Linked DNA regions of Saccharomyces cerevisiae S288C. Changing the gene in region 2 together with the main gene of any one other region gives a genetic interaction. Each region holds a gene or a part of one and is shown on either strand. Other genes may lie near its edges. The genes, in order: LSC1, CEM1, BGL2 and ECM25.

What was found.
Region 1: mutations in CEM1 (region 2) and LSC1 together harm fitness more than expected from each alone (negative genetic interaction), as found in Saccharomyces cerevisiae (4 studies listed by BioGRID).
Region 3: mutations in CEM1 (region 2) and BGL2 together harm fitness more than expected from each alone (negative genetic interaction), as found in Saccharomyces cerevisiae (3 studies listed by BioGRID).
Region 4: mutations in CEM1 (region 2) and ECM25 together harm fitness more than expected from each alone (negative genetic interaction), as found in Saccharomyces cerevisiae (2 studies listed by BioGRID).

Annotation. Positions count from the first base shown.
Region 1 is NC_001147.6:591,230-599,341, reverse strand, and holds LSC1 (succinate--CoA ligase (GDP-forming) subunit alpha), read right to left. Parts: upstream 6,286-8,112; coding exon 5,296-6,285; downstream 1-5,295. Other genes in the region: YOR142W-A (gag protein), read right to left, coding at 2,908-4,230; ARP8 (Arp8p), read left to right, coding at 6,755-8,112. UniProt on the Saccharomyces cerevisiae protein: Succinyl-CoA synthetase functions in the citric acid cycle (TCA), coupling the hydrolysis of succinyl-CoA to the synthesis of ATP and thus represents the only step of substrate-level phosphorylation in the TCA.
Region 2 is NC_001137.3:275,294-283,480, reverse strand, and holds CEM1 (fatty acid synthase CEM1), read left to right. Parts: upstream 1-3,854; coding exon 3,855-5,183; downstream 5,184-8,187. Other genes in the region: VHR2 (Vhr2p), read left to right, coding at 1-776; THO1 (Tho1p), read right to left, coding at 1,115-1,771; glycerol-1-phosphatase GPP2, read left to right, coding at 2,799-3,551; FCY22 (purine-cytosine permease), read right to left, coding at 5,317-6,909; FCY21 (purine-cytosine permease), read right to left, coding at 7,328-8,187. UniProt on the Saccharomyces cerevisiae protein: Possibly involved in the synthesis of a specialized molecule, probably related to a fatty acid, which is essential for mitochondrial respiration. Is essential for oxygen uptake and the presence of cytochromes A and B.
Region 3 is NC_001139.9:1,054,597-1,062,494, forward strand, and holds BGL2 (glucan 1,3-beta-glucosidase), read right to left. Parts: upstream 4,129-7,898; coding exon 3,187-4,128; downstream 1-3,186. Other genes in the region: ATP-binding cassette transporter YOR1, read left to right, coding at 1-2,661; UPA1 (putative methyltransferase), read right to left, coding at 4,419-5,444; protein ERV29, read right to left, coding at 6,062-6,994; ZUO1 (zuotin), read right to left, coding at 7,256-7,898. UniProt on the Saccharomyces cerevisiae protein: Glucanases possibly play a role in cell expansion during growth, in cell-cell fusion during mating, and in spore release during sporulation. This enzyme may be involved in beta-glucan degradation and also function biosynthetically as a transglycosylase.
Region 4 is NC_001142.9:49,337-58,379, forward strand, and holds ECM25 (Ecm25p), read left to right. Parts: upstream 1-5,042; coding exon 5,043-6,842; downstream 6,843-9,043. Other genes in the region: YJL206C (uncharacterized protein), read right to left, coding at 1-599; NCE101 (Nce101p), read right to left, coding at 803-932, 1,076-1,107; RCY1 (Rcy1p), read right to left, coding at 1,293-3,815; PRP21 (Prp21p), read left to right, coding at 4,005-4,847; aconitate hydratase ACO2, read right to left, coding at 7,108-9,043. UniProt on the Saccharomyces cerevisiae protein: May be involved in cell wall organization and biogenesis.

The DNA.
Region 1 (8,112 bases), on a different chromosome or scaffold from region 2:
CCACGAACTTCTTCCATACCACACTGTTTTATCAGGTATGATTTGATAGTTTCGTACCAGTTCGCTCCACTTTGTTTCAATCCATAAAGTGATTTCTTCAAACGTATCAACTTATCATTCATTCCTAAATGTGGTGGAGGTCTTATGTATAATTCTTCTTTGATGTCTGCATACAAATATGCCGAAGATATGTCTAATTGTGTAATATAGTAGTTATTGTCTAATGCAAGTGACAGGGATGTCATTAATGCATAGTGATGTACGGTATTGGATTGCATGCCTGAGTCGTAAGTGTCAGGATGCTGAATATCACCTCTTGCAACAAATCTAGCTTTATGAGTACCGTCACGTTTCCTGTTGAAGATAAACATTGAATTTATTACTCTTTTAGGGTCTATTTCTTTTCTGTCATAATATTTGTCAGTGTCCCAAGTTTTCATCTTCAACAGTTGATTGACTTCTTTGTGGTATGCCTCGATATATTTTTCTTTTTCTTTAATATCTTTATTATAGGTGATTGCCTCATCGTATCGTAAGGTTGTTCGTATTGGTTTGATTGATTTTACTGCTTTTACAGCTGCAATCAGGTGAATTCGTTTCTTCGATCTCGGAGGTTCTAAACTACGCATATTCTTAGTATTCCATGTGTCTCGTGATACCTTAATTTCAGTTTCATTATCTTCTAATGATCTTTTCTTACTGTTGATAGTAGTATAGGCATTAGAGTCACCAATACCACCCAAACTGGAATTAGTTTGACGAGAATTTATCGGTGGGAGTTCTTTAAATGGGTCAGGGAATTCGGTAGGAGATTCTGGAGGTAGATCAGGGAGTGGGAGATCAGCGATGATAGATTCCTCGGTATTCTGTTCAGAAACAGTAGTTGGCGTTTTGATAGGAACAATATTGTGCGATGAATTATTTTCCGGTGGAGAAGCATCGATTGAAGGTGAACGGTGTATAATCCTTTTCTCAGTCTCTTGGTCACTTATCTGCGGAACAGTTTTGTTGTTGGTACCACCCGTACTGGATATTGGTACGTTTGTATGATTAGTCTCATTTTCACTGTACGAGTCTGAGTGTCTGAAATCTTTAGATTTACTGGCGTGCGACGACTCATGTGTGTTAGATTGGGACATGGGAGCAAGTAAAGGAACATTTAATTTATGCATACCACCCGAACCGGTACTCTCGATATTGGAAATTTGGGGGGTGCTAGATCTCTTCTTTGATGGAAGAATATTAGATTCAGATATGTTGGGGTCAACTTCTCTGGGTGCGCGAATATTGGTTTTAGAAACACGTTTCGAATCTTCAGTATGAGTTGACGGAGGTGTGGAATCGGTTGGACTCACAGCTTTTGAAAGGACATTTCTCGGTTGCTCAGGATGTAGTTCAATGTCGGATTGGAAGTCATGGTCAGATTCTATGTTAAGATCATTGGATTCTTGGATCTCATTTGACGCAATGAACGAATGATATGAAGCAGTTAAACGGTTTAAGTCTTCATCGAAAGTGAGTGCGTCGTAATTGAATTGATCTAATCTGGATTCCTTGCCCTGAAGAATAACATAGTTAGTTGTATCTACTGTCTTCTTTAAGGATGGAAGATAGATGATATATCCATAAGAGTTTCGAGACGGATGTAGAGCGTAGCCTGGGATGCCACGAGGATGTATTTTGGAGTTAGGGTTGTGATCATTGACGATAACAGGTTGACCGAAAGGTAACAAAGTACTGATATCAAGTCCTGCCAAGCCAGCATGTTGTCTTGCAGATTTTTTGCTTTTAGGTGAAGCTAGTGAATTTCTCACAATAGTAGAAAATTCGATTGCAGAGAACCATAAATGGTTCGGTAAACCACTACATTGCAGTTGAGTACGGCAGTCATCTAATAAGGTACGGTTCAGCCGTTCAGCGACTCCATGTGCTCGGGAATCCGCTGTGGTTGTATAGCATGGAGTTATACCATTTTTTTCAAGGAATTTATGGAGAGTTCTGTTAGTATACTCAGAACCACGGTCCATTTGTATAACTAAGACACTGGCCTGAAACTGGTTTTTAATAAAAGCTAGTATCGTAGTAAAAACATCGAGGATAGAGTCCTCGCGACGGTCGTGTAATGGATAAACCCAACGGAATTTTGTTGTCTCATCAGTAAATGAGATGAAATAGGATGGTGCACTTTTTGGTAGGTTGTGAACTGGACCAAATATGTCAGTATGTAGGTATTGAAAGGGTTCGTATGAATTTTGGTATTTTAGTCGTGAACCTTTGATATGTCTGTGTTTGGTGCTTTTGCCGATTAAACAATCAGGACATTGATAGTCAATAGCACTAGACCAGTCGACATCTGATTCGTTAAAATACGTGATGGTGTTATTTTTAAGTGAGTATCGAATTGTCTGTGCATTGGCATGCGCAAGCATTCGATGAATGAAAGGATAAGGATATTTGCGTGTACTTTCACTTGTATGGACATTATTGATGGTGGGTACGGAGATATTTGATGGAAGCAAGTACTTTTTAGATACCCAGTAAAAGTCTCCATATTTTACGATAGGTGCAAGTACAGTGCCGTCAGACCGTTCTAAGACGTTTTTGGTAAAGCATGCTGTGATATCTACTGCAGCCAATTCATTCAAACTGAGTAAGTCATAGGCTATGTTAGGAGTGTGCAATACCTTTATTGATGTTTTGGTGTTGTCCTGGAAGTGAAATTGTAGGTCACCAATAGCGTTAATTGGTATATTTCTTTTTTGAGCATCAACTACGTTTATGTCAGGATTAGATGATGCTGAGTGTATGTGATGAGCAGATCTTATAAGGGTTCGTGATGCTCCTGAATCGAGAAGGAGGTGTCCAGGGAGTTCATCATCAGAATGATTAGTATGATTTACTGTAGATTCAGTAAGTTTCTGGCCTAAGATGAAGGTCGTGCTTATTGTTCAATTGAATCGGTTCAGTAGTTGATTTACTGATGGAATCGTTGTCCGTGCTGGGAGAGTTATTAGATGTGGATACATTGTGAGCCCTGGCTGTTTTCGATTTCGAATTATTTGTTTTTTGAGGATTCCGAGCTATAACTTTGGGTTTGGTTGTATTCGTATAGCTGCGAGAATCATTCTTCTCATCACTCGGATTTCTCCTGTAATTAGGTTTGCTGTTTCTCGATCCCTGTTGTTCTTCATAAATAGCATGGATATCTAAGAACAGTTCAGCGACTGTCATATTTAGATGTCGATGACGTGTGTAGCGTAAAAATTTATATTCGCCAGATAGACCTCTCATAATTAATTGACATGCGACCTTGTTATTGATATGAATGCCATTATTGTTCAGTCTGTCGATAATGTTTGTGACTTTTGTTTCAAATGCATCTGCAGGTGTACTGCCATTATATTGCAAATTTGCCAGGGTCACAATGTCGTTTGCCTCTTGGGTATCAGATTGCATTTTTTCAATACTTTTGGAAAGAATTTTCATGATATCCGTATAATCAACGGATAGGATGTCTTTGACCCAGGTAGGTAGGAATTGAGAGGGAGCAAATATTTGAAAAGTGTTATACAAGAAGGTGAGTTCATCATCAGTGATCGGACGTACGGGTTTTCCGTTTACTGTCGGAATAATACCACCGAGATTCGAGTTTTGTAAAAATTTGATGTATGTTTTAACCCAATTTGGAAAGTCATTAGGTGAGGTTAACATTGGTGGTGGTCTGACATATTTTTTAGTGGATGTCATATCAGAGTCCGCTGAGGATGAATCAGTAAATGTATTACCTGACTCAGGTGATGGAGTGCTCAGAGGCGTTCCAACTGATGATGGATACTGCGGAAACTGTGATTGTGGCCCAGGTGGAAAGTACATAGGCGACATTTGATAAGGTGTATACGGAATCATAGATGGGTGTCCGTAAAATGACCAACCAGATGGATTGGCTTGGTTTTGGGTCATCATGCACTGCTGTGGGTACGGCCCATTCTGTGGAGGTGGTACTGAAGCAGGTTGAGGAGAGGCATGATGGGGGTTCTCTGGAACAGCTGATGAAGCAGGTGTTGTTGTCTGTTGAGAGTTAGCCTTAGTGGAAGCCTTATCATATTCTTGAATTTTGGAAGCTGAAACGTCTAACGGATCTTGATTTGTGTGGACTTCCTTAGAAGTAACCGAAGCACAGGCGCTACCATGAGATATATGTGGGTAATTAGATAATTGTTGGGATTCCATTGTTGATAAAGGCTATAATATTAGGTATACAGAATATACTAGAAGTTCTCCTCGAGGATATAGGAATCCTCAAAATGGAATCTATATTTCTACATACTAATATTACGATTATTCCTCATTCCGTTTTATATGTTTCATTATCCTATTACATTATCAATCCTTGCACTTCAGCTTCCTCTAACTTCGATGACAGCTTCTCATAACTTATGTCATCATCTTAACACCGTATATGATAATATATTGATAATATAACTATTAGTTGATAGACGATAGTGGATTTTTATTCCAACAAATAGTTTGATAATTTTTGGCATTCCTTTTTTTGGCAAAGGTTATATATAATATTATGTGTAGTTCTCCTCGAGGATATAGGAGTCCTCAAAAAGGAATCTATATTTCTACATAATAATACTATGATTATTTCTCCTTCTGTTCTATATGTTTTATTATCCTATTACGTTATCAATCCTTGCATTTCAGCTTCGTCTAACTTCGATGACAGTTTCTCATATCTTATGTCATCGTCTAACACCGTGTATGATAATATATTGGTAGTGTGACTACTAGTTGTTAGACGATAGTTGATTTTAATTCCAACACTTACCTATTTATCAGTGTCATTACTAAGAAGGAAATTTTTCATTAATAGTATATAACGTGCTGAGTCTTCCCAAATTGATTGAAACGCGCAAGTGGTTCAGTGGTTAGAATTTATGCTTCCCAAGCATGAGGCCCGGGTTCGATTCCCGGCTTGCGCATCTGTTTTTGCAAAACAGACTAGGAAATTCAGACGTTTTGTTATTTTTTTTTCCATTTCAATTATTAAGCTTTAATCAACCTTTATGTATACCCTTGTTAAGAAGAACATTAAATACAAACACTATTAAAAGATTTTTAGTAGAATTTATAAGGATAAATGAATATATACAAAGGGAAAAATTAACATAGAATGTTGAGTAAAAGCTCTGAAAAGAAAACGGATGTCAGCTCCATACTTGTCTAAGCAATAATCGAGACATAGAAGTCTTCCTCTTTTGAAAGCAGTTCATTCTCTTCCTAATATAATCATTTAAATTTGGCAAATTGATCCAGTAAAGCTTGACCTAAGTAACCTGGAGATTCAACGACGGCAACACCAACATCTCTCAAAGCTTGTTTTTTGGATTCTGCATCAGTTCCAGATCCTTCTACAATTGCACCGGAGTGACCCATTCTAACACCTTTCATTTGACCAGCAACAGTTCCTGCGATGAAAGATGCCACCGGCATCGGCTTACTCCTGCTAAAGTTGTATTCTTTGAGAAATTGAGCAGCTTCGATTTCGGCCTTACCACCTATTTCACCTAACATAATAATACCTTCTGTAGTTTCATCTTCTAGAAATAATTTCAAGGCGTCAATAAAATCAGTACCGGGAAAAGCATCACCACCCATACCAATAACCAGTGATTGACCAAGGTCAGTTTTTGTAGTTTGCTGAACAGCTTCGTATGTCAAAGTTCCCGATCTGGAAATAATACCGATTTTACCAGCTTGAAAAATTTTTGGGGGCTGGATACCAATTCTTACCTTTGTTGCTGGGTTAATGATACCAGGGCAGTTGGGCCCAACTAATCTTGTTTTATCTTGTGTCTGCAACATTTCTGCAATGTATAACATGTCATGTTGAGGAATACCTTCAGTGATACATACAGCTAACGGAATTTCAGCTTCAATAGATTCTTTAATGGCAGCAGCTGCGATCGGTGGAGGAACAAAGATGGCACTGGCAGTGGCTCCAGTCTCCTTAATCGCGTCCTTCACAGAGGCAAAGACAGGTTGGCCTAAATGTGTTTGACCCGCCTTTTTTGGGTTCGTACCACCCACAACATTTGTACCATATTCTTGAGAGATGCTGGCATGAAAAGTACCTTGTTTACCTGTGAACCCCTGAAAGATCACCTTGGTGTCCTTGGGAAGCAGCAAATTTTTGATCGTCTTATCGTAAGGAATAGATTCTCTGTGAAAGTGACGACAAATTTTGAGAGAAGCTTTTGAAACGGTAGATCTTAACATTATCAAACTGAAGAATAAATGGTCTGCAAAAGAAATTTTCTATGAAATCGAACGTATATAGAGTGGTAAGTAACAAACAGAACAACAATTAGGGGAAACTTGTCTCCTTCCAGCTTTTATATCGCTTGATTAAATCCAACTGTGGTAAGCCTATATATACGCAGTGTGCTGTGAACAACTCTCGAACAAGGATACTTAATTGACAATTGCAAAGCACTTAAGGGCTCTATTACCATCTGGATATCAGTCTCGAGAAACGCCTTTTTTGTTTCTGTTTTTATAGCAGCAACTTTGGGTCCGAGGTTGGGGTAGATCCGTTATCCAGCCGCTGGTTGGGCCGTGCAAGATGACTTATTTGAGAATGGCAATATGAATAAATGGAGATGATGAACGCCCACGAAGTAGCAAACACTTTCAGGTAAATTACTAGTCAATAGTACATAAATACAGGGATACAATCGCACCTAACATGTCGCAAGAAGAAGCAGAATCCAGTATTATTTATGAGGAACCCATTGATATTCCGTTAGAGGATGATGACGATGAGGATGAACTGGAAGAAGAAAATAGCGTACCTTTAAGCAGCCAGGCGGATCAAGAAAATGCGGAGAATGAGTCAGACGATAGTGTCGATAACGTAGTTGGATCTGAGACACCCAGAAGTGTAACAGGTCTTTCTGTTGACCCAAGAGACGTTGCAGACGAAGAAGATGAAGATGAAGAAGGGGAAGACGAAGATGAAGACGAAGACGACAATGATGTTGACAATGAGGACGAAAATGATAATGATAATGCCAACGAAAATGAAAATGAATTAGGGAGCTCTAGAGATAAGAGGGCACCACCTGCTGTGCAGACTAGTAAACGTTATAAGAAATATCCGAAGCTAGATCCCGCAAAAGCACCTCCCGGGAAGAAAGTCCCGCTACATCTTTTGGAGAAGAGGAGACTAGGACGTATTAAAGCTGCTGAAGAATTTGCCAAGACGTTGAAAAAAATTGGCATTGAGAAAGTGGAGACAACTACTTTACCTGCCACTGGCCTGTTCCAACCTTTAATGTTAATCAACCAAAAAAACTACTCATCAGATTATCTGAAAAAAGACGATCAAATATTTGCACTTAGAGATAGAAAATTTTTGAGAAATAACAACACTAGCCAAATATCTAGTACCAACACACCAGATGTTATAGATTTAAAGAGTTTGCCCCACTCAGAAGCGAGTGCAGCACCACTTAATGACGAGATAGATCTAAATGATCCAACAGCAACTATCGTGATACATCCTGGATCAAATTCTATAAAGATAGGATTTCCCAAAGATGACCATCCTGTCGTAGTTCCAAATTGTGTAGCGGTACCTAAAAAATGGCTGGATCTTGAAAATAGTGAACATGTTGAAAACGTTTGCCTTCAAAGAGAACAGTCAGAAGAGTTTAACAACATAAAGTCGGAGATGGAAAAGAATTTTAGAGAACGTATGAGGTATTATAAAAGAAAGGTACCAGGTAATGCTCACGAACAGGTAGTATCTTTCAATGAAAATTCCAAACCTGAGATTATTTCAGAGAAAAATGATCCATCTCCTATAGAATGGATATTTGATGACTCAAAATTATACTATGGTTCAGATGCATTGAGGTGCGTGGACGAAAAATTTGTTATTAGAAAGCCTTTCAGAGGTGGCTCTTTTAATGTCAAGTCACCATATTATAAATCGTTGGCAGAATTAATCTCAGACGTTACCAAGCTTTTGGAGCATGCACTTAACTCAGAGACTTTAAACGTTAAGCCTACCAAATTTAATCAGTACAAGGTCGTGTTGGT
Region 2 (8,187 bases):
CTATTCCACTACCTGAACAAATTCAAAGAGATAAGTTCATTAGACCAAATTTAACGAAAAAAAAAGGGTGCCAAAGCAAAGTTGTAATATCCAACAACTTGAGAAAACTCATCCTGTCAAAGATACATAACTCAAGGACGTGCTTGGAGATGTCTAAGGATGAAAGAAATTTGGATTCTTTTGCTAATCTAGAAACGCTGGGCAAAAATTCACTAATGGCTTCCATTTCCCTTGTGGTAGAAAACAGCTTTTCACATTTACCGTCTTCTACTAAGCAATATCTTACTGAACGGCTGTCATCAATCGAATTTTTGACTATTCTATCGCAAAGGCTATTTATGCCCGCTACACGTCAACTATTCGCTGACCTATCACAAGAAAAAATTCAGGTGAGAGTGCTGAATCTCATACTGGGATCTCTTGTCAAAGATTATGGGTTTGATGCATCTTTGGCACCAATCAACGAAATTATCTATCACATGACACTCCATCAATATCCCTTGGTTTGTAGTAATAAACAGTCCAATCCAATGAGGCCACACTCCACATCTGAGGTCTTGAGTGCACATTCTTCAACGAAAGATGCAAGCACTCCCGGTAAAGAAGAGCCTCGAGTGACGAGGTCAAGCACATCGGCAGATAGCACTATCATTACATTGCCTTCAATTGAAGTCCCAAATACGTACGATGATGACAGGTTAAAGATGTTGAGCGCGATATCGTTGCAGATTGAAAATTCCACCTTTTCCAAACCATTCAGTACTATTTCAAAATAAATAGGCCCGCTTGCATCATCCCCACCTGCATTACTATGAACTATTTATCATAGCTTATTTTTCCTCTATCATCATTGTAACTTGTACAAGAATGTTCAGTCTGTAAATCTCGCCGCTCATTCTCTACTAGCACTTTACAACGTTGACAGCCACTGTATGTGTAATACAGTGAACCGCCGACTCTTCGGATTTAATAACACAGATTTATTTAGAATAATCTACACATGTTTACGTATGCAACAAATTTTGCACCTTCATATACAAACAACTGCGGTCGTTTAAAAAGTGGGAAAGAACCGAAACTAGAATGAAAAACTCCACCAAAACGGCTTGAGCCTTTATCTTCTGTAACCAGAGCGGTTGCCTCTCCTGTTTTTACTTACTCTGGAGCGGTTGTTTGCATTTTTGTTTCTATTTTTAAATTTACCGTTATTGCCACTTTCAGGTTCATTTTTCCTACTGACAAGGCCCAGTTCTTCAGCCAACTTGCTATTCAAGTCAACACCAAACTTCTCCACACGATTTATCTGTCTTTGTAAAGAGTCAATATCCGCTTGATCTTGACCGAATTTGTTAGCGCGGTGCAGTTTCTTATTTAAAAGATCCAATGCTTTGGCCTTAATTTCTTCTGGTGACAAAGCGGGAGCAGCAGTGGAAGCAGCAGCTTGTTCGTTCTCTGAAGCAGTAGCAGAAGGTCCATCAGAGGGCTTTTGAACGTCCTTATTTTCCTCCTTGGGTTCGTTTGTTTCTTTAGGCTCGCTTGAAACTTCCTTTTTTTCAGTAATGTTCTGGGAGGCTGGTTCTTCTATCGCCGCAGGTTCTGACCCTTGTTCCTGGTTTTGTTCCTGTGGAGAAACTTCACTTTCACCCTTTGATTCTTCATCGTCCTTTATCAGTCTTTGAACTAGTTCATTCTTCAATCCGCCTACAGACAGATTTCTCTTGGTCAGTAAATCTTTCAATTGAACAACAGTAAGGGAAGAATAATCTGCCATTGTAAGTGCTTGTGCTGGCTCCAAGAACAATTCTAGTGGTGAAAAAAATTCTATTCAATATACAGATATCTTTGTAACTTCTGAAAGTAGCGCATCCTGAAAGGACACATTTGAAGAGTCACTATTCAACTTTCTTCTCCCATTCAGCATTATCACGCCCTTCCACCAACGCTGGTTGCATTGTGTTTTCTTACTTCGGCTAGAGACGCCGGGTAATAAAATATATATCCTCGAATGAACCGCTGGCCTCGGCCATTTTCATATGACTTCATATCATTAATATGGCCGTAGGTTAAGCAATGCTACGTGAAAGATACCAATTCCAATCGTCTGCTTTCTCTCAAGAGGAGACTTTGCGTTCTTTAAAGGAGCAGAGAAAGAGGGAAACGGTGAAAAACTTCAATATTGATAACATCCATCAGCGTCTAAATTCCTATGCCTCCTTCGAAAATGGTCAATGTTATACCCTCTCCCATTAGATATTACCGTAGCGTACGTATTTGGCCCTGTCCTTTGGGGTTTGGCCTTCTCAAGTATTTTGGCACCTCGCCCTGAACGAAAAGCTGGCACTTTGTCCCCAGCCAAACTCTTCTCTCTAATATCGTCTTTAACGACAAGGTAAAAAGATTTCTGCAGTGTTCCGTCTGCGTCATCATCTGTGCCCCACAATCCGCGGCGTTTCCGTGTAAGCCGTCAAGTGAGGACTTTTCGGATGCTGAAAGAAAGTACGCTCGGAAAAACTACATAGCTGCCCCCCTAAACGGGCCTCCCACGTGACGTAAAGTAGGAATAATAAGAAGCCAAGTCGTTTCTTTTTATTCTAAATAAGTTCGTTTCTTTTGATGTTGTCATTTTCAGAAATATATATATATGCGCTTAAATACACAAGCTAAAACAACATAGTTAGGATTGCCAAAGGTTTCTTTTCTACTCAATTTGGTCTAACTCTTTTCATATTAATAGCGCCAACCAGCTAGTGTTTACCAGATCAGTGGAAAAACATAAAACAATAAAAACAATATTCGGAATGGGATTGACTACTAAACCTCTATCTTTGAAAGTTAACGCCGCTTTGTTCGACGTCGACGGTACCATTATCATCTCTCAACCAGCCATTGCTGCATTCTGGAGGGATTTCGGTAAGGACAAACCTTATTTCGATGCTGAACACGTTATCCAAGTCTCGCATGGTTGGAGAACGTTTGATGCCATTGCTAAGTTCGCTCCAGACTTTGCCAATGAAGAGTATGTTAACAAATTAGAAGCTGAAATTCCGGTCAAGTACGGTGAAAAATCCATTGAAGTCCCAGGTGCAGTTAAGCTGTGCAACGCTTTGAACGCTCTACCAAAAGAGAAATGGGCTGTGGCAACTTCCGGTACCCGTGATATGGCACAAAAATGGTTCGAGCATCTGGGAATCAGGAGACCAAAGTACTTCATTACCGCTAATGATGTCAAACAGGGTAAGCCTCATCCAGAACCATATCTGAAGGGCAGGAATGGCTTAGGATATCCGATCAATGAGCAAGACCCTTCCAAATCTAAGGTAGTAGTATTTGAAGACGCTCCAGCAGGTATTGCCGCCGGAAAAGCCGCCGGTTGTAAGATCATTGGTATTGCCACTACTTTCGACTTGGACTTCCTAAAGGAAAAAGGCTGTGACATCATTGTCAAAAACCACGAATCCATCAGAGTTGGCGGCTACAATGCCGAAACAGACGAAGTTGAATTCATTTTTGACGACTACTTATATGCTAAGGACGATCTGTTGAAATGGTAATCCTCTAAAATCGAACATATTTGAGTAATAATTCTCAGATACAGTCCTATTCTATATTCGCCACAAAACAAGTAATGATGCTAAAAAACGACACATTTATAAAATCACATCTTATTGATTAAATAAATACGTAGATAGATTTTTTTTTTTAAAACATATAGTGTGCTATTATTTCTGACTCTGTCTCATCTCAGAAAAATAAATGATAAAAAAGGAAGTAAAATCCTTAAACGTTATCAGGTTATTAGCAACTTGAAAGTGACAGGAGCCACAACGGATTAAAATTTAATTTCTAGTAAAGAAATGTCAAGAAGAGTGGTTATCACAGGATTGGGCTGTGTAACGCCGTTGGGAAGATCATTAAGTGAGTCATGGGGGAATCTGCTCTCTTCCAAAAATGGACTCACACCAATCACATCTTTGCCCAACTATAATGAGGACTACAAACTCAGAGAAAAAAGTATCCCATCAACGATAACAGTGGGGAAGATTCCAGAGAATTTTCAAAACGAAAATTCAGCCATCAATAAACTGCTGTTCACTAGCCAGGATGAGAGAAGAACCTCAAGCTTTATCAAGCTAGCACTACGTACAACTTATGAAGCGCTTCACAATGCTGGTCTCTTGAACCCAAATGATATAACCATCAATACATCTCTGTGCAATCTGGATCACTTTGGTTGCCTGATAGGTTCTGGTATAGGATCCATTCAAGACATATACCAAACTTCTCTACAATTCCATAACGACAATAAAAGAATAAATCCATATTTCGTCCCTAAAATCCTTACAAATATGGCAGCTGGTAATGTTTCCATCAAGTTTAACCTTAGAGGATTATCCCATAGTGTTTCCACAGCATGCGCAACAGGTAATAACTCCATTGGCGATGCATTCAATTTTATTCGGTTAGGCATGCAAGACATCTGTGTCGCCGGTGCAAGTGAAACGAGTTTGCATCCGTTAAGTTTAGCAGGTTTCATCAGAGCAAAGTCGATTACTACAAACGGGATCTCTAGACCCTTTGATACACAACGTTCTGGATTCGTACTTGGTGAAGGATGCGGAATGATTGTCATGGAATCGCTAGAACATGCTCAAAAGAGAAATGCAAACATAATTTCTGAGCTCGTGGGCTATGGTTTAAGCAGTGATGCCTGCCATATTACCTCCCCTCCTGCTGATGGAAATGGTGCCAAAAGAGCAATAGAGATGGCTCTAAAAATGGCTAGATTAGAACCAACTGATGTTGACTACGTCAATGCACATGCTACATCAACTTTACTAGGCGATAAAGCAGAGTGTCTGGCAGTAGCCTCAGCACTCTTACCAGGAAGATCCAAAAGCAAGCCACTGTACATATCCAGTAACAAAGGTGCAATTGGCCATCTTTTAGGTGCAGCTGGCGCCGTAGAAAGTATATTTACAATTTGTTCCTTGAAGGATGATAAGATGCCGCATACCTTAAACCTGGACAATGTTCTGACTCTAGAAAATAACGAGGCCGATAAGCTACATTTCATAAGAGACAAACCTATTGTGGGAGCTAATCCGAAGTACGCATTATGCAACAGCTTCGGATTTGGAGGAGTTAACACATCTCTTCTCTTCAAGAAATGGGAAGGGAGTTAATATTATTAAACTTATATATATATCCCATTATAATCGTTTTTGAATTATATGCTATCTATTCGAATGTCGAGATTTATCCATTAAAACCAATCATTTCAATGATTAGCAAAAATATTAATCAATTAACATTTAGTCATCGACCGAAATATTTGAGTTCTAAAGGTCTTACAATGTTATAGATGATGAACGCCCAACTTCCGCCTAACTCGAACCCAATGTCACCGCCGTACTCTCCGATCAAACGACTGATCTCACCAACCCAATAAGTTTGGCACATACCCAACGCTACTCCAAAGGCACCAGCAATTAAGGCAGCAGTACCTGCGATACCGATAGGTAGATGCTCCCAATTATCCCAATCATCAATATTGTAAGCACTGAAGGAACGCCTATAAATAAAATGCTCTGAACATGCAATGGCAATATAAATAGCCAAATAATAACCAATGGAATCCATAAAATTCTCCATAAAGCCGTCAAAGTAATAGGTAGCAGGGATGGAAATACCTAAAGTGGCAGCATTACCTGCCATTGTCCAGACTACTCTTGGTATTTTAGCCAAAGGTGCCCACAAAGCTTGAGCGGATAAAGCGACAGTGTACATTCCAGGGACATTATTAGCAACAGTTGAAAGAGCCAACAAAACACAGCAGAATTGACCGAATCCGTTTAGAGAGTTAGGGACCAGGATAGCATATATGACACCACCCATGGCGTTTTTATCATAATATGACTTCCAGGTTGGGTCATTAAGGGCCGCCATACCGCAAGCAGCACCAAGAATCATGGTGAAAAATAGAGGGAACGCTAGACCGGCTACTACGGAAAAAAAAATTTTGTATTTACTTGTGGTCTTTGGCATATAAACAGTGTAATCTGCTGCATAAGTCGCCCAACCCGCAGCTGACCCAAAAACAGATGAACCAAAAGAAAGAACACCACCTGCAGTAGTTGCACCCCCTACCCATTCACCACCTTTAAATTTTCCTGATCTCGATAGTTGGGCAATAATGACCAAAAAGGCAGCAAAATTGGGTACCCACGACCATTTTTCGTATGCATGAACGACACTGTAACCAAAAAAAGTCACAAGCACGGTACCACCAGCAATAATCAAACAACCTGCCCAAATAGGACAGTTGTGCCCAGAGCCTTCATTCACCATATTCAAAAGTTGAGCAGAAACAGAAATATTTAAAACACACCAACCGACACAAGCAATGACATTAACAAGAGAGAAAAATCTTGCTGTGATGTTACCAGCCAAATATCTCGATAGAATCATCTGTCTTAGGCCCAGTTCTACCCCAAAAAGTGAGAATAATGCAACAGGGATCAAACCCAAAATATTGAAAAAAATGATAACTAAAACACTTTGGCCGAAATTTAGGCCAAATACTAGAGGACCCAAGGCACCTACGGAATAGGCTACAATCACCATATTAGCTGAAAACCATATAGTGGCGGCATTGAGTATCGAGTCATCATTTTTTTCATCTTCTGTAACTGGTTCAATACCTTTCGTCTCAGCATTTAAAGCAGCTGCAATCCTATTGAAAAAGGACGGCTTATTATCAATGAATTCGTTGGTTCTATGCAATTCTACACCCTCATAGTATACATCAGCGGCGGAAGATTTTGTGTCCAGAGCTCCAGATTCGAGGTCCCTTAGTTCACTCCCCGCATCTTTTATATCGACCATTGACATGGCTAACTTTTCTGGCATACTTTTCTTCGATATTTTAGTCACCTTCTGAAACACCCTCCATTTCAATCTGACAAGCGTATCTTATAACAAACAATTTGGTTATCATGTTATATATTTGTCTGGTTTACAAATCACCAGTGCAAAAACAGACTACATTTATGTCATCTGCATGCATTAGGCTTTCAACAGACTAGAAATCAAAATTTATCAACTAAACAGAAATAATGCAACGTCTCATAAAGTATTTACTGGCGATCGGAGTAACTCTTAGAACCACAGTCACGTGATATGCTTATCAGAATTGCGTTATCAACTCAAATGAATGAGCCGTGATAATTTAATTAACATACATGCTATTTTTTAATGATTTGCATACTAGAGCCATTTATGTTACATTACAAAGACTAAAATAGCGAAACATTTAAATGAACTTTCGTTAACGACCAAAGTACTTGAGCTCAAAGGGTCTAGCAATGTTGTAAACTATAAATGCCCAACTTAGTCCTAACTCGAATCCAATATCACCACCGTAGTCTCCGATCAAACGGCTGATCTCGCCAACCCAATAAGTTTGGCACATACCCAACGCTACGCCAAAGGCACCAACAATTAAGGCAGCAGTACCTGCAATGCCGATAGGTAGACGTTCCCAACTATCCCAATCATCAACATTGTAAGCACTGAAGGAACGCCTATAAATAAAATGCTCTGAACATGCAATGGCAATATAAATAGCCAAATAATAACCTATGGAATCCATGAAGTAATTCATGAAGGTAGAAAAATAGTAGCAGGCAGGAATGGCAATACCCAGTGCGGCCGCATTGCCTAATAAAGTCCAAATAACTCTTGGGACTTTCGCAAGAGGTTCCCACGTGGCTTGCACCGATAAAGCAATAGTATACATGTTGGGAACATTATTAGCGATAGTGGACAGAGACAATAACACGCAACAGAACTGACCGAATCCGTGAACAGAATTAGGGACAAGAACGGCAAAAGTTAAACCACCTATGGAATTTTCGTCATAATACGTCTTCCAGGCTGGATCGCCGATAGCTGCCATTGCTACAGCTGCACCAAGTATCATAGTAAAATATAATGGTGTTGCTAACCCAACTACAAGCGAGAAAAAAATTTTATACTTGTTCGTTTTCCTTGGCATATAAACGGTATAGTCAGCCGCATATGTTGTCCAGCCTGCAGCAAACCCATAAACTGTTGATCCAAATGAAAGCACGTTACCTGCTGTAGTAGGACCAGATGTCCACTCCCCAAGGACAAATTTTTTAGACC
Region 3 (7,898 bases), on a different chromosome or scaffold from region 2:
GGCCCGGAAGATTTAGAAAAAACTTCGTTTAGGGGTTTCAAGGACTTGAACTTCGATATTAAAAAGGGCGAATTTATTATGATTACGGGACCTATTGGTACTGGTAAATCTTCATTATTGAATGCGATGGCAGGATCAATGAGAAAAACTGATGGTAAGGTTGAAGTCAACGGGGACTTATTAATGTGTGGTTATCCATGGATTCAAAATGCATCTGTAAGAGATAACATCATATTCGGTTCACCATTCAATAAAGAAAAGTATGATGAAGTAGTTCGTGTTTGCTCTTTGAAAGCTGATCTGGATATTTTACCGGCAGGCGATATGACCGAAATTGGGGAACGTGGTATTACTTTATCTGGTGGTCAAAAGGCACGTATCAATTTAGCCAGGTCTGTTTATAAGAAGAAGGATATTTATCTATTCGACGATGTCCTAAGTGCTGTCGATTCTCGTGTTGGTAAACACATCATGGATGAATGTCTAACCGGAATGCTTGCTAATAAAACCAGAATTTTAGCAACGCATCAATTGTCACTGATTGAGAGAGCTTCTAGAGTCATCGTTTTAGGTACTGATGGCCAAGTCGATATTGGTACTGTTGATGAGCTAAAAGCTCGTAATCAAACTTTGATAAATCTTTTACAATTCTCTTCTCAAAATTCGGAGAAAGAGGATGAAGAACAGGAAGCGGTTGTTGCCGGTGAATTGGGACAACTAAAATATGAATCAGAGGTAAAGGAATTGACTGAACTGAAGAAAAAGGCTACAGAAATGTCACAAACTGCAAATAGTGGTAAAATTGTAGCGGATGGTCATACTAGTAGTAAAGAAGAAAGAGCAGTCAATAGTATCAGTCTGAAAATATACCGTGAATACATTAAAGCTGCAGTAGGTAAGTGGGGTTTTATCGCACTACCGTTGTATGCAATTTTAGTCGTTGGAACCACATTCTGCTCACTTTTTTCTTCCGTTTGGTTATCTTACTGGACTGAGAATAAATTCAAAAACAGACCACCCAGTTTTTATATGGGTCTTTACTCCTTCTTTGTGTTTGCTGCTTTCATATTCATGAATGGCCAGTTCACCATACTTTGCGCAATGGGTATTATGGCATCGAAATGGTTAAATTTGAGGGCTGTGAAAAGAATTTTACACACTCCAATGTCATACATAGATACCACACCTTTGGGACGTATTCTGAACAGATTCACAAAAGATACAGATAGCTTAGATAATGAGTTAACCGAAAGTTTACGGTTGATGACATCTCAATTTGCTAATATTGTAGGTGTTTGCGTCATGTGTATTGTTTACTTGCCGTGGTTTGCTATCGCAATTCCGTTTCTTTTGGTCATCTTTGTTCTGATTGCTGATCATTATCAGAGTTCTGGTAGAGAAATTAAAAGACTTGAAGCTGTGCAACGGTCTTTTGTTTACAATAATTTAAATGAAGTTTTGGGTGGGATGGATACAATCAAAGCATACCGAAGTCAGGAACGATTTTTGGCGAAATCAGATTTTTTGATCAACAAGATGAATGAGGCGGGATACCTTGTAGTTGTCCTGCAAAGATGGGTAGGTATTTTCCTTGATATGGTTGCTATCGCATTTGCACTAATTATTACGTTATTGTGTGTTACGAGAGCCTTTCCTATTTCCGCGGCTTCAGTTGGTGTTTTGTTGACTTATGTATTACAATTGCCTGGTCTATTAAATACCATTTTAAGGGCAATGACTCAAACAGAGAATGACATGAATAGTGCCGAAAGATTGGTAACATATGCAACTGAACTACCACTAGAGGCATCCTATAGAAAGCCCGAAATGACACCTCCAGAGTCATGGCCCTCAATGGGCGAAATAATTTTTGAAAATGTTGATTTTGCCTATAGACCTGGTTTACCTATAGTTTTAAAAAATCTTAACTTGAATATCAAGAGTGGGGAAAAAATTGGTATCTGTGGTCGTACAGGTGCTGGTAAGTCCACTATTATGAGTGCCCTTTACAGGTTGAATGAATTGACCGCAGGTAAAATTTTAATTGACAATGTTGATATAAGTCAGCTGGGACTTTTCGATTTAAGAAGAAAATTAGCCATCATTCCACAAGATCCAGTATTATTTAGGGGTACGATTCGCAAGAACTTAGATCCATTTAATGAGCGTACAGATGACGAATTATGGGATGCATTGGTGAGAGGTGGTGCTATCGCCAAGGATGACTTGCCGGAAGTGAAATTGCAAAAACCTGATGAAAATGGTACTCATGGTAAAATGCATAAGTTCCATTTAGATCAAGCAGTGGAAGAAGAGGGCTCCAATTTCTCCTTAGGTGAGAGACAACTATTAGCATTAACAAGGGCATTGGTCCGCCAATCAAAAATATTGATTTTGGATGAGGCTACATCCTCAGTGGACTACGAAACGGATGGCAAAATCCAAACACGTATTGTTGAGGAATTTGGAGATTGTACAATTTTGTGTATTGCTCACAGACTGAAGACCATTGTAAATTATGATCGTATTCTTGTTTTAGAGAAGGGTGAAGTCGCAGAATTCGATACACCATGGACGTTGTTTAGTCAAGAAGATAGTATTTTCAGAAGCATGTGTTCTAGATCTGGTATTGTGGAAAATGATTTCGAGAACAGAAGTTAATTTATATTATTTGTTGCATGATTTTTCTCTTTTATTTATTTATATGTTGCCGATGGTACAAATTAGTACTAGAAAAGAAAACCCACTACTATGACTTGCAGAAAAAGTTATGTGTGCCATAGATAGATATAATTGCATACCCACATTGTATACTCAAAATTCCGAAAAGAACATTTCATTTTTTATGAGGCAAACTGGACAACGCCTTCGGTCCTTTTTCATTCTAGAAATATATATTTATACATCATTTTCAGAAGATATTCAAAGAACTTATTGGGATGTCTGTTTACTGAATAAAGTATACACAAAATACGAATTTAAAATGGAAGGCATAAAATAGAAAACTTAGAAGTGAAAATCCTAAAACCGAAGGATATTTCAAATACGTAAAAGAAGTGAAAGATAAAATAAAGCCTAAATAAGGAAGAAAAGAAGGGATAACATTTTTTTTTGTTACTTTTTGCTTATTCCTCACCTAAACAGAAGGAAAAAGCCATTCTTGTTTAAAGAGTATTTTTAAAGCGTTCATGAAAAGTCACAGTCCAAGGAGTATTTCAAATTGTCACTTGAAGTGAAAACACCCCAGTGCTTCTCGACATCAGAGGTACCAGAGGTGTTTGGCTTCCAATCTTCATCAAAGGCTTCAAAAACAATAACGTTAACACCCCAAGCTCTCATGGAACAGATACCTTCTTTCCAGAATTGTTTGGCGTTGTCAACAGATGGGTAAGAACTTTCAAAGTTGGTACCATCAGTTGGCCAACCGGTCTCACCAACCCAGAAGGTAATATCGGTAGAACCTTTAGTAGATTGGATAACCTGTAGAGCTTGCATAATATCATCAAAGAATGAGTAAGAGGCATTTTGCATGGTTTGACCTTGCCAGTAGGAGAACGCGTTAGCCATAACAAAATCGGAAGCTTCGATAACGGCAGAATTGTAACCAGCAACCAAAACATTCCAGGAATCGACAGTACCGACTTGCTTACCAGAGTATGACTTTCCGTCAGAATCGGAAATGTCAGCAACGACACTACGGACGTCATTAATTTTGTCTGATAATTGAGAGGCAGTCAAATCGTTACGGTATAAGGCTTCAGAACCAACCAAGAAACCAGCAACAGTGGATTCTTTAATTTTTGGCAAATAGGTTTGCAAAGCAGCCTTTTCAGCAGCGTAATGACTGTCGTCTGTTGGCCAAACACCGACAAAGATAGTAAATCCCTCAGCTTCAGCAGCAGGACCTAAGTTTTGCAAAGTGTTACAATCTGAGGCAGCGTAAACTTTGACGGTGGAAGTGTAGCTCTTCAAAGCTTGTAATTCGGTTTCATAGTCGGAAGTGGACTTACAAGTACCATCGTTGTTCTTGACACCCAAGTTAAAGGCTAGTTCACCAATAGCTGAAACTTGGGAGGCTGTGAAAAATAGCGCAGTAGCTGCAGTAGCGAGTGTAGTAGAGAAACGCATCTTTGACCGTTTTTCTTTTTGGTTAGTTGTCTATCTCAATAAACTTATATTGAAAAAAACAAGAAGAAGTCCAAATTGTGAATGAGGAAAAGTTTCTTTATAAGGAGGCAGTTAAAATCAAAATAAACAAATATCCTCTTGTTTTCTTCGTGACATTTTTCTCTTTTTCAGGGCGAAAAACTGAAAGAAAAATTTTAACGTTTCTTTTACTAAAAATAGAACTGCATATCCGTAGAAAACGATGATTATATAACATAAATAGTAATATCAGTTATTAATTGCTATTTATTTCAACTTGCCCAACGCTGAAACATGGTAAGAGCTATGGGTAGGCTATCTTGAATGGGTATATTTCCCTGGGGTACGGAAGCAGGGAATTGCAGTTGACCAGAAAAGTAATGATGCAAAGAAGAGGATTCTAAGTCAGATCTCCTGAAACAACGTTTTAAATGGCCCCATTTCCCGAAGATAAGCAGGATATTACAGGGTTTTTCTGATGTTGAACTTTTTTTCAGTTTTGCGATGTATGGTAGCTTTGTTTCTACCTTGTGGTACTTTGACAACTCTTCGTCGTAGTGGAAGTCACCACTGTTGACCCAAACGATCTTTGTGTAACCTTCGGACACCTCATTCAAAGTGCTTGCCATTCGAACATGATAGCCGAGTGGTTTTCCTTTGTAAGCATCTATGGGTGACACTACTTCTTTGCGCTCTGTATCAACTGTTACACGCGCAGTATTGGGAATATTTTGGTTAGATAACGTAATAATTTGATTCTTTCCTATATACACCAAATTTGTTAGAGCATCATCAGATTTACCTTTTGAGCTATCTCGTGCGATTGATAAGCCTTCCTTGTAGTGTTGTTCGGCAGATGCGTTCATAAAAGGTAGCTGGTTCAATGGCGGAAAGGTAGATGCACACTTTAAATATAACTTGTTTTTTTTTTTGAATGTAGTATCCAGTAAGTTTGGAGGCGTTACAAAATATTGTAATAGTGTGGCAAGTAATAAACAATCAGAGATAGTCTCCTTTGATCTTGATTTTTTTTCATGCTTTTTATCTTTTGACTGGTCTAGAACTATGATTTCTTGAACATTGAACAATACAGCTGTCCGAGCTATTTGATATGCAGTAAATGTAACTTGCTCCAAATTATTACAATTGTCGATAACAGTTGTCGGTATGCATATGGAATATTTGACCACATTAGATTCTATATCCATGATTTTTTTTAGCTTCAATAGGCCTGTCTTTGCCTTTTTGGCAGCCCCCTCTTCGTGCTTAAGGCTCTCGGATTTATGTTTTACTGCCATCTTCCCCTATTATGCTACACTTCCCTTGGTAGATGTGTTTCACCTCATTGGTATCAATTACCTCCTCTACTTAATATCCCAATTTCAACATGGTGTTTTCAAGCGATGAGGTGGAAAAAATTTCAAATAATATGTTTGGGTGTGCCCATTATTGCGGTTTACAATAGTTGCTAAAGAGCTATTTATTAGGAATTTTTAAACTTTAGAGATTGCTTAAAGCGACTTTAAAGCGTTTCTTTGGAAAGATAGGAGAGCGGATGCTATCTCAAGAGCATCTCTTCAATGATTTAAGCAGTGACAGTGTAAAACAATTACGGACCAACGAAAATGGTCAAATCAAAACTAATTACAATAAATAAGTTCTATCATAATACAAGGGAATTCTGTGCGATATAACCACATTGATTGAAGGTAGAATATACAAGCCAACGTGAGACCAATCAAATTTCGTTAAGTGCGCCTATACAAAAAGAAATCTTTTATGTAGATATGACAGTAAGAAAAGTATATATGTGAGCTAGCAGGGTATTGAAAGCGATCACAAGAAGGCAAAACGAAATAGATTGTTAGAAGATGAGTGAACAGAAGGGACATAAAGAAAAGATTTCCTTTACAATCTAGTAAATCTTCTTCTTTTCATCAACGGATAATTCACCAGCGCCAGTATTAGTAACTAATAGAAGCCCACCAATGATGCTTAAGTTCTGGTAAAACTCATACTTCAAGAAATCTCTCTTAGTATTGTTATAAAACCAGTAGTTGTTTAGCGTGATATTGTAAAAAGTTAGTATCAAACCCAACATAATGGATGCGAATTTTGTCTTGTAACCAATGGCGAAACATATTGTGCCGATAATGGTCAAAACAACAGTAAACCATGATTTACTGAAAGTGAAAGCGATAAACATTAAAACAATTAAAATTCTACCAGCAAACAACAGGTAACCCTTCGCTTTGTCGTTTTTGCTGTTTAATTCAGGAAGCATACCGAATGTTGTCTTGTTTTGAACAATTGAATCGCTGAATGCAATTAACAACCCACCAATAACACTAAAGTTTCTTAGGACAAATGATGAACCCGTAAACAACCCATAAACTAATGCTTGAGAAATAACGCAAGCACATAACACACCGGTGGCATAATTGGTTTGCTTTCTTAAAACTAACAAACTGGCGCCAATCAACATGGAAACGGTAACAACCACTAGAAACACAACGACAAAGAAGTATGGGTAATGCTTCCACTTATTCAGATAAAAAATTTGATCTGACCATTGTGATAAGATCCTAAACGAATCTTCATAAAAGGTGGCCACAATGAAAAATCTTGACAAACTTGGAATGTAAGGCTTCAATTTATAAACAACTGCATTGTCAGTGAGCCCCTCAATTCTGGAGGCAAACTTTTCAAAAGAATGCTTCCATTGCTTTAAGATGCCAGAAGTGGATTGGTTCTGGTTTGATCTGAATTGTGCACCGCCAGAGTATGGTCCTTGCGATGATGACATTGGCATACCGCCAAAATTTCCAATAGGTCCTCTGTAAGACATTGATCTATCCTTTCAGTTTTGTTTTCACTTTTTTTGAGTCGTACTAATTGCAGCTATTGTAAGTAAATAAGGACACCTTTGATCTTTCGTTAAAGGTGTCCTTTATTTTTCGCCTTTCTCATTATTCCCTCTTCTCTCATCTTCTAGAAATACCTAAAAAGGGAACCGTTACCCGAACCTATTCATTATAGAAATAAAAGAGAACGTTCTCTATAATATTCGTATACATTCGTATATATTCTATTCCATTTCTTACGGTATTCACACGAAGTAGGACAACAAGCTGGATGGTAGTTTGCCAGAATCGACAATAGTCTTTGCAGATTCCTTCAAAACTTCCTTGGCACCAGCAGCATTGGCCTTGATCTTATCGGCGGTGGACACTAACTCTTCGTCATTCAAACTGTCAACGATCAAACCAACTTGTTCGTCAATCGTGGTGGCCTTGTCAGCATCACCAAAGTAGTCAGCTTCCTTAGCAGAGTTACGGATGGCTCTCTTGTTCTTTTTCTTGGCGGCCTTAGCAGCTTCCTTAGCCTTCTTTTTGTCAGCTTTTGCGGAGGCGTTAGCCTTGGCTTCAGATTCAGCTTTAGCCTTCGCTTCAGCTTCGGCCTTGGCCTTAGCTTCAGCTTCAGCTCTGGCACCGGCTTCTCTTTCCCATTTTCTTCTTTCCTTTTCCTTCTTCTCTTCTTCTTTGAACATTTTGATACGGGGATCTTCACTGACAGCTCTTTCAACAAGTTTGACCAATCTAGCGTTATCAGCAGTCTTCTTCTTGTCTCTTGCGGCCTTGTTCTTTCTTTCAATGTAACGCTTGTGGTCTCTGTTAGAAGAGTCATCTGGGACATCTTCGTCCAAGAACTCAAAGGTTCTCCAGGAGTCAAATCTGTGCCAGAAAGCATAG
Region 4 (9,043 bases), on a different chromosome or scaffold from region 2:
AGCACACAGGCACAATCCCAGGTCTTTTGAATAAATTTCAAGGCAATCTCTCTGGGTGGTAATGGAACACTTGTTTGCATGTGCCAAGGCGTATCTTTTGGTAGACTTTGACGTATTACCTGATTAACATTTAATTGTCCTTGAAGTAGACACGTTTTAATAGTGTCCAAAAAATTCTGGCTGTTAAAAGAAGAAGAAGCAAGTATTTGACGGAGTGTTTCAGGTGGAAAGATCGTCTCTACAACCTTTTTGTAATCAATGGAACTTATAGGGCCCTTGCTATCTTCCCGTTCGTGGGAAGCTCTCTGTGCATATAAGGAACTATCATCGCTTACTTCCCTATCAAATACCGATGAGTTCCGTGGGGGGCGATCATATTTGCATTCGTAACTATTAGTCTGGCAAAGTCTACATGGTATATTACCACTACATCGTACTTTCCTCTTTCTGCAAGCTATGCAAGCTCGATGTGCTCTTCCTTTCGTTGGCTTCAATTCGTTGGTGCCCGCATCTCTAGATAAAACCAAAATCTTAGATCTCTTGCCTTTCAACTTCTTCATTGCACACGAAATAGGCTTTCCAGATTCTTTCGGCGTCATCTATTGAATAATTCTTTGGTCTAAGTTGTATGTATTACTCTTTAAATTGAGACAATCAAGGAAATCACACATATAAAAATACTGTGGATCTGAAAGATTGGGTTTTTATAGGATAAATGCGTATAAAGGTAGATCCTAGGATTAATTATTATGGTATTTACATATCGCCAGAAACTTATATATACTCCCCTCACGCCGGATTATTATTTGCGATCGTCCCATCGCTTCTTTATGAGCTCGTGTAAATGATGACCTTGTGGACGCCCCATTTTCCTTTCGTACACATAGTAGCTGAGACAGCCTACCATAATTGCCAATAACGGATCAGAAAATCTGCAATAGAGACCAGCTTGGGAAAGAGCACATCGACTTGTTTGATGTTGCCTCTTCGAAACAGCAAATGGTTAACTATGCGTTAGTAAAAGAATAAGTGTGAAAAAAAAAAAAATAGAATAGCGTATGAAGAATGAACATACTTTCCTAATAGAAAGGGAGCGTACTGAACCATGTTATCGATGATCTTGTGTGGAATCCTCTTATAAATGGAGTGAACATTTGTATGCCCCTTGTGTGCGTGTGGCTAACAGGGAAAAATAGAGCCCGCGTAATCTTGAATAATCTAATATGTGAACAGTCTTTTATTTCCGCACTTCATACCTATATAGAGTAATATAATTAATCATTGATAGGAATTTACATAATGCAGCAATCTCGTATGCCTAGGCCGTACATTACCTTTTCAACGTCTTTCCGTACACGAACCCAATCGCTTCTCCTCTGAACAAATTCATAAATTTCCTCTTGCGTAAAAATGCCATTGAATTTCCCAAGATCAGAAATAAGCTTTCCCAACTCTTTCGAGTCCTTGCCTGAAATGATGTATAACTGGCCAATAGACTTAAGCCCAACAAAATAGGGAACAACATTTTTTTGTTTTAATTTGTTAGCAATAAAATCGTAAAAGTAATTTAAATCGCAGATTAACCAAATTGCGCCCTCCGTAGATATGAAGCACTTCTTCAGATGTTTGACGATTTCATTAAAGAATCTCTCGCCAATTTCTTGTTGGTACACGTCAATAGTACCCTTGTCTGTGGCACCAGTCAGTAGAAAGCAATGATTAGAAAGTAACTCGACTACCCTGATAGCACATTTGGTTGGCTTTATATCCCTTATTGGAGAATTCCTAGAGGGTGGCGGTGGATTATAATCGTCAGGCAATTGAAGAGTCTTGAATACAAATGAGATTTCATCCATTAGTTTGTTTATACCGATATTTAAACCTTCGGCTACAAAATCATCGATAGAAGTCTCAAAATTTTTTTTTAATTGGATAACATCATTAAGAAAATCTTTATTTTTATCGATAATTTTTTTGGGAATCAATTCGTTCTTGTAAAAAATGGAAATCATTTGTAATATTATGTCACCTATATTGATAAGTTCAGTGAATTGTACTAAAGGTTCGACTTGAGTATTGGCTGGCGAAAGTGAATTGAATTTTATTTCTATTTGTTCTATTTCGTTAGGATTATATTTTTGTAGTAGCAGGATTGCCTTTTCAAATGCAGGTTTAACGTGATTTTTATTCAATTGTGTAATTAAAATTTTGAAAATCTCTTGACAGCGTAGCTTGATCAATGGTAGCAAACTTTCAATCGTATGAAATTTGTAAATTTGATCCGTCTTTTCGCTTGTTTCCTGTAAAATTTTGTAACATAAATCGAGACTTATTAACGATTTAATGTTTTGCAAGTTATTGGAAATTAAATTTAAGTTGTAGGCTAGTTGTAGTTGTTGCTTTAGCCTTTGATTTTCATTGTTCGAGAACTTGAAAATCTTGGTGAAGGAACTTAGAAAGTCTAGTTTATCATTAGAAATATCAGTTGAATGAACTGATTGATGGATCGTACTTGGTTTTGAATCCGCTTCTGGGACAGTTTTGGAGGTTTCAGTAATTATTGAGAGGTCATTCGGCAATTCATTGTTACTTGCACTCGAAGCATCCGTTTGATCTTTTAAAGTGTTATAAATTTTTGCGTTTTGCTCACGCTGCTTGTCTTGAACTTGTGTGTCATAATTAGCTAATTGTGAGTTGATCAATGATTCAAATACTCTAGTTGTCTGATTCATATAGTTGACAACAAAGGGCTCGAGATACAGGTTTAAAAGGTCACGAACAACTTTACGGAAATTTGCGCCTGCGTTTACTGAGTCGTTTAATTCAGTATCAAACTTTTTTATAAATGTGAAATAAAGTTCGGGTACGCATTCATAATTGGCTTTACTATCCTTTCCATTTTCTTTTAAAAATTCACTATAGCTTAATAAGATATTGTTTAAAATATCTAATAAAATATCTTGGATAAAGGACTCGATGAACTGTAATATTACAGGGAACTCATCTTTGAATAAAATGTCCGCTAATTTAATCTTTTCGTTGAGGAAATCCCTTAGCTGATTGAGAAACGTATCTAAATTTTTAGAATTAAATATCACGGTACTCCCACCGCTGTCCTCTTCCCTTGGTTGTTCGGCCCAAAATAATTCATCATTAGACGGCAAAACCGTTAAACTGGGAGGCAAATCAGCCTTTGACTTGAAAAATTCGATAGCATTGCTTTCCTCATTAGATATCAATAAAATTTTCATGAAACGAGCGACGGCAGCTAAATTATTAGACTGGTAATTCAATTCTGACTCTTTGAGAACAGAATTAATGAAGATTTCCCTAAGAATGTTGAAATTAGTTTCAATCCTAGTAAATGTTTCTATATCATTTTTATTCGAGAAATTGTACTTTTTGATAAAATTTAGAATTCTTGTTTGTTTCAACGGATCGTTGGAATATGAAGTAGGAAAGAAATTTGCTAGATTATTATTATATAGCTTCCTAGCGTATGAGTTATAACAACGGTAAAATTTCACAAAGATTTTTTTAGAATTTTGAGCAGTGAAAGATTTGTATATTTCGAAGATGCGAAGGGAATTTTGATTATCATTTTCATCCAGCAACGTAATTTCTTCTTCTTCATTTGAATGCACCTGTTGGAGACCCATTCTAGTCAATTTCAATGACCAATACTTTGAATCATTTTTGCCGTTAATGATTGCATAAACCCGTTTATTCACTTGTTGAAAACTCAGATAATCTACAGTAGATAAATATGAGGCAATATTGGTTACAATCTCGGGAACTTTTAGCAGATCATCCATTTTACCGATTTCCTCAAAAGCTTTTGTTTTCTTTTGGTTTTTCTATTGTTTGTCTGTTGACCATTTTTTGATAAAATAAGAACCTTCCTTCAACGAAATATTTCGGCAAAAGTTAGCCTTGAAACACTTAAATACAGGAAGAAATAAGGTAAAGCGTAAAACTAACAGCAATAATTTGCAGTTGTATAAATGGAACCAGAAGATACCCAGCTGAAAGAGGACATTAAAACCACAGTAAATTACATAAAGCAGCATGGTGTTGAGTTTGAGAACAAACTGCTAGAAGATGAGAGATTCTCATTCATCAAGAAAGATGACCCACTCCATGAATACTACACCAAACTCATGAATGAGCCAACAGACACTGTCAGCGGTGAAGATAATGACAGAAAGAGTGAGCGAGAGATAGCAAGGCCGCCGGATTTTCTGTTCTCTCAATATGATACTGGAATATCCCGAAGAGACATGGAAGTAATCAAATTGACAGCACGCTACTATGCAAAGGATAAAAGTATTGTTGAACAGATGATTTCAAAGGATGGTGAAGCCAGATTAAACTTTATGAACAGCTCACATCCGCTACATAAGACATTCACTGATTTTGTCGCCCAGTACAAGCGAGTATATTCTTTTACTGGTCAAGAAATCAAGAAAAGTAAGAGAACCATTTTAGATAATTGTTTTGAGAGAACACAGTATTGGGAATTTGAGAAAGATAAAGACCGGGAACATGATAAGCTCGTAGAGTTGTGCAAAATACAATTTGCAGCCATTCCATGGGATAAATTTACTCAAGTGGCAAAATTTTCTATCCCTGAAGACACAGAAATCTTCGAAGGCTCTCTAGATTTAGAACAGATGAGGCTGCGAAGAGTACAAACTGGTATTAAGTTATTCGATAGTATCAAGCCGACAAATGAAGAAGAAAAGATAGTATCCGACCAAGGTAAGCAAAAAGGAGGAGATAGTAAGGGCAAAAAGCGTAAAATTAGAGCTGTGGGAGAGACAAGGTTAAAGAAAAGTAAAAAATAAGCCTCATGAAAATCAAAGTTAGCTAGAAGTATGTAAAGGTTGATGATGCACCGTAATTGAGCACATGTATCACTATTAACGGCGTACGTATTTTGGCGTTTTTTCATGTTGATGTTATTTTGTATATAGAAAGTGAAATTCTCGAGGATATGGCCCTACTGGATAATACTATTGGTAGCGTGAAAGAAGGCCAGGATGATAGATATCAACGTTAATAACATATTTTTTAGATCTTATTCAGTTGATCCTAACTCTGGTCACGCAATTTATGTCTTTGATTCGACTTATTTGCCAGCATCTGATGAAATTGGCGATAAGCAAGTTTATGACTTGCTTATTAATGCCCTCATGGATCGATTGGTAATGAAATTGCCACAGGCACCATATTCACTGGTGATTTTTTCATCTGGGTTTTCCCAGAGAAAAATAAGCTGGGTTTACGGTATTAAAATGTTTGCAAAGTTACCCAAAGAGACCAAGTTCTATTTACAAAAGATTTTTATTGTTCATGAGTCATTCTTCGTTAGGTCGGTCTATCAAGTAATTTCAAACGCTATGAACTTTAACTTCTTGGACTCAAAAGATAGTCAGCATGATTTTCCAAGTTTAGTTCATGTCTTGGACCTGACTTCTTTATCCGAGCTAATAGATATTACGCGACTTAGAATATCGTTGAACGTGTACTTATATGATTACCAGATACGCGAACATATAAATGTCCCGGAGGAATATTATAACAGATTGACCCCTCTGGCAATAAGACAGTATAGGCAGTTAGTATTCGATAAAATTTTCAAGAAATTACAGAATGACGCTCTGTTGTGTGAATTGATATTCCAGAAGCCGGGAAACTATAAAAAGGTAAACATTTTTTTGGATATTATCAAAAGAAACAACTACATTGATTTATCTCAATGGGATATTTATTCTTTGGCATCCGTGTGGTTGAATTACTTCATTAAGAATAAAGCCAAACCTCTAATCCCAATTGAATTAATTCCGTTACCAATTGTTGATGATCTAAAGTTCACAAGTGAAACATTCCGCAAAATTATTAAATTCAACCAATACCAGGACCTCTTTATGGTCATAATTCCTTTTTTTAATAGGATCATAGCGCATGGTGAATCGACTAAACATGATTCAAGGACCCTAAGTAAAGCTTTAACTCCGGCGTTATGTAAGGAAAAACTTTCCATGATGACTAATGATCGTTTAGCTATTGGGTCGAGATATATTAAAAATTTACTGGACTTTTTCCCCGAAATCGCGAAGGAAATATCATCACCTCCTTCATCCGTATCATCGTCTTCTACTATCCCTGTTTTGCCTAAGCCAAGGAAGTCGTCGCCAACCAGATACAGTGAACTAGGCTGCTTAACCCTTCCTAGAAGTCGAAGCCCTAGTCCACAAAGATCTGTTACGTCTCCAACGTACACACCTGTCGCATTACAAAATACACCAGTCTTGAAACCTAAGTCTTCAAGCAGAAATGTTTCATCCCCATCATTCAATGCCAAACCTCCACTTCCTATTAAGGCAGTTACACGACCACAACTGTCTCTAACTTCCAATTCTAATACAGATTTGGCATTAGCTTCTTCTTCTACAGATACATTATCCTCACCGACGAAGACTCCATCAGCAGACTCGCTTCCATTGAGTAACAGCAGCACCGATTTAACGATATCAGATAATATCAAAGAAATGGTTAAGGACGAGCCAGCAAAGGATAAAAATTCTGTGGAAACAGATATATTCGTACAACAGTTTGAAAGTTTAACCCTCGTCCAAAACGCGAAGATTAAGAAGTTCGACAAAGAACTACAAGAAAAGAAGAAGAAAAATGAAACTACTTCAAAGACAGCAGATAAATTCTCTCAAAAGGGATATTCAGATATTAAAGCAAGCAACAAGGTTAGCAGGCTAGCTGCATTGTACGAAGAACGTTTACAAGGTTTACAAGTAATGAATGAAATGAAACAAAGGTGGTAACTTACATAATTGTATCTTTTTAACACATACATATTGCATATACGACAACAAAATACCCCCCACCCTTGAGTTAAGCCGTAGTTGAAGCAGTCGAGATCTCGTGTATAATATTATATATCAAACAATATTACGTTTTTTATAGTAAATAAATAAATAAATAGGTAGGTTATTTGCACCGTCTATATGCAGAGTCTATAGAATTGTGTAAACTAGCTTATGACTATTAAATCGGACTCTTAATTTTTAGCTAATATCTCTTCAGAATTTATTCGTTTCTTCGTATATTACCAATATAATTGATTGCTGAACCAGCTTTGAAAAAATCGATTTGATCTTTAGACATAGTATGTTTTGCCTTGATGGTGAACGATTCACCGTTTGGTTTAGTAATTTTAACATCAATTTCACCACCGTTATTACCATCCTTAGCAATCATGTCAACTAGGTTCAACGTTTCTAAAACATCTCCGCTTGATATTTTATCATAGTCAGATTCGTTGGCAAAAGTCAATGGCAACACACCTTGTTTCTTCAAGTTTGTCTCATGAATTCTTGCAAAAGACTTAACTAAAAGAATCTCTCCGCCTAAAAATCTTGGTGACAAAGCAGCATGCTCTCTTGCGGAACCTTCACCATAGTTATGTTCCGCTATCACGGTCCATGGTCTACCGTCTGATTTCCATTTCATCATCAAACCAGGAATATCATATTCAGTTCCGTCAAGGTCATAAGCCTTGTTGACTTCACCGGTTTCTTTGTTTTGTGCACCAATCAATGTATTGTAAGAAATGTTTTCTAGATGGCCTTTATATTTCAACCAGACGCCCGCAGCGGAAATATGATCTGTTGTACATTTACCTTCAACTTTCAAAAGCACGTTTGTCTTCAATTCCTTCCCGTTCCAAGGTTTGAATGGCTCTAATAATTGCAAACGATCAGAATTAGGGTCTACCTTAATCTCTACATTGCTATCTGGCTTTGGATCCATTTCAGGATAAAATTTGTCTCTACCGTGTTCAAATCCTCTTTTTGGTAACTCATCACCCTTTGGTGGTTGGAATTTGAAATCCTTCCCATTTGGCAATTTAATTGAGTCAGTTAGCGGATTGAACTGAGCATCTCCAGAATAACTCATCGCTGTTACTATTTCTGGGGATGTTAAGAAATTCATTGTATTCCTATTACCATCGTTTCTAGCTCTGAAATTTCTATTGAATGATGTAAAAATAGTGTTCGTTTCTTTTGATGTTTTCGAGACATCTTCCCTATTCCATTGTCCGATACAAGGGCCGCATGCATTTGCTAAAACTTTGGCACCATTTTCTTGGAAAATATCGATGATTCCATCTCTTTCCAAGGTAGCTCTAATTTGTTCTGAACCAGGGGTGACAAAGAAGGGGATACGTGGTTTCAAGCCGGCTTTGGAAGCTTGCTTGACCAAGTCGACAACACGACTCATGTCTTGATAAGATGAATTGGTACATGATCCAATCAAACCAGCGCTAACTTTTTGGGGCCAGTTTTCCTTCAAACTTTTTTCGGCATATTGAGATATTGGGGTTGAAAGGTCTGGTGTAAATGGACCATTAACGTGAGGTTCAATTGCGGATAAGTCAATTTCAATAACTTTATCGTATTGAGCATCTTTGTCGGCTCTTAAGAAGTTAAACTTGTTTAAAGCAACATCAGCTGCTTCAGCGACCTCTGCTCTATTAGTTGCTTGCAAATAACGCTTGTGAGCTTCTTGGTAAGGGAAAGTTGACGTTGTAGCACCGATTTCAGCTCCCATATTACAGATGGTTGCCATACCTGTGCAAGATAGAGTGGATACACCTTCGCCGAAGTACTCGACGATATAACCAGTACCACCTCTGACAGTTAGTAAACCAGCGAGCTTTGTGATTACATCTTTAGGAGTGGACCATCCGTTTAACTTTCCGGTCAATTTAACACCTAAAATTTTTGGTGCTTTTAATTCCCATGGAGTGCCTGTGAGGGCATCAACTGCATCCGCACCACCAACCCCGATGGCAATAGCTCCCAGACCGCCTGCATTTGGTGTATGGGAATCAGTACCTAGCATCATTAGACCTGGAGCTGAGAAATTTTCCAAAACAATCTGGTGAATGATACCAGAACCTGGGCCCCAGAATTGAATTCCATATCTCTTTGCGCAACTCTCCAAGAAATCGAAAACTTCT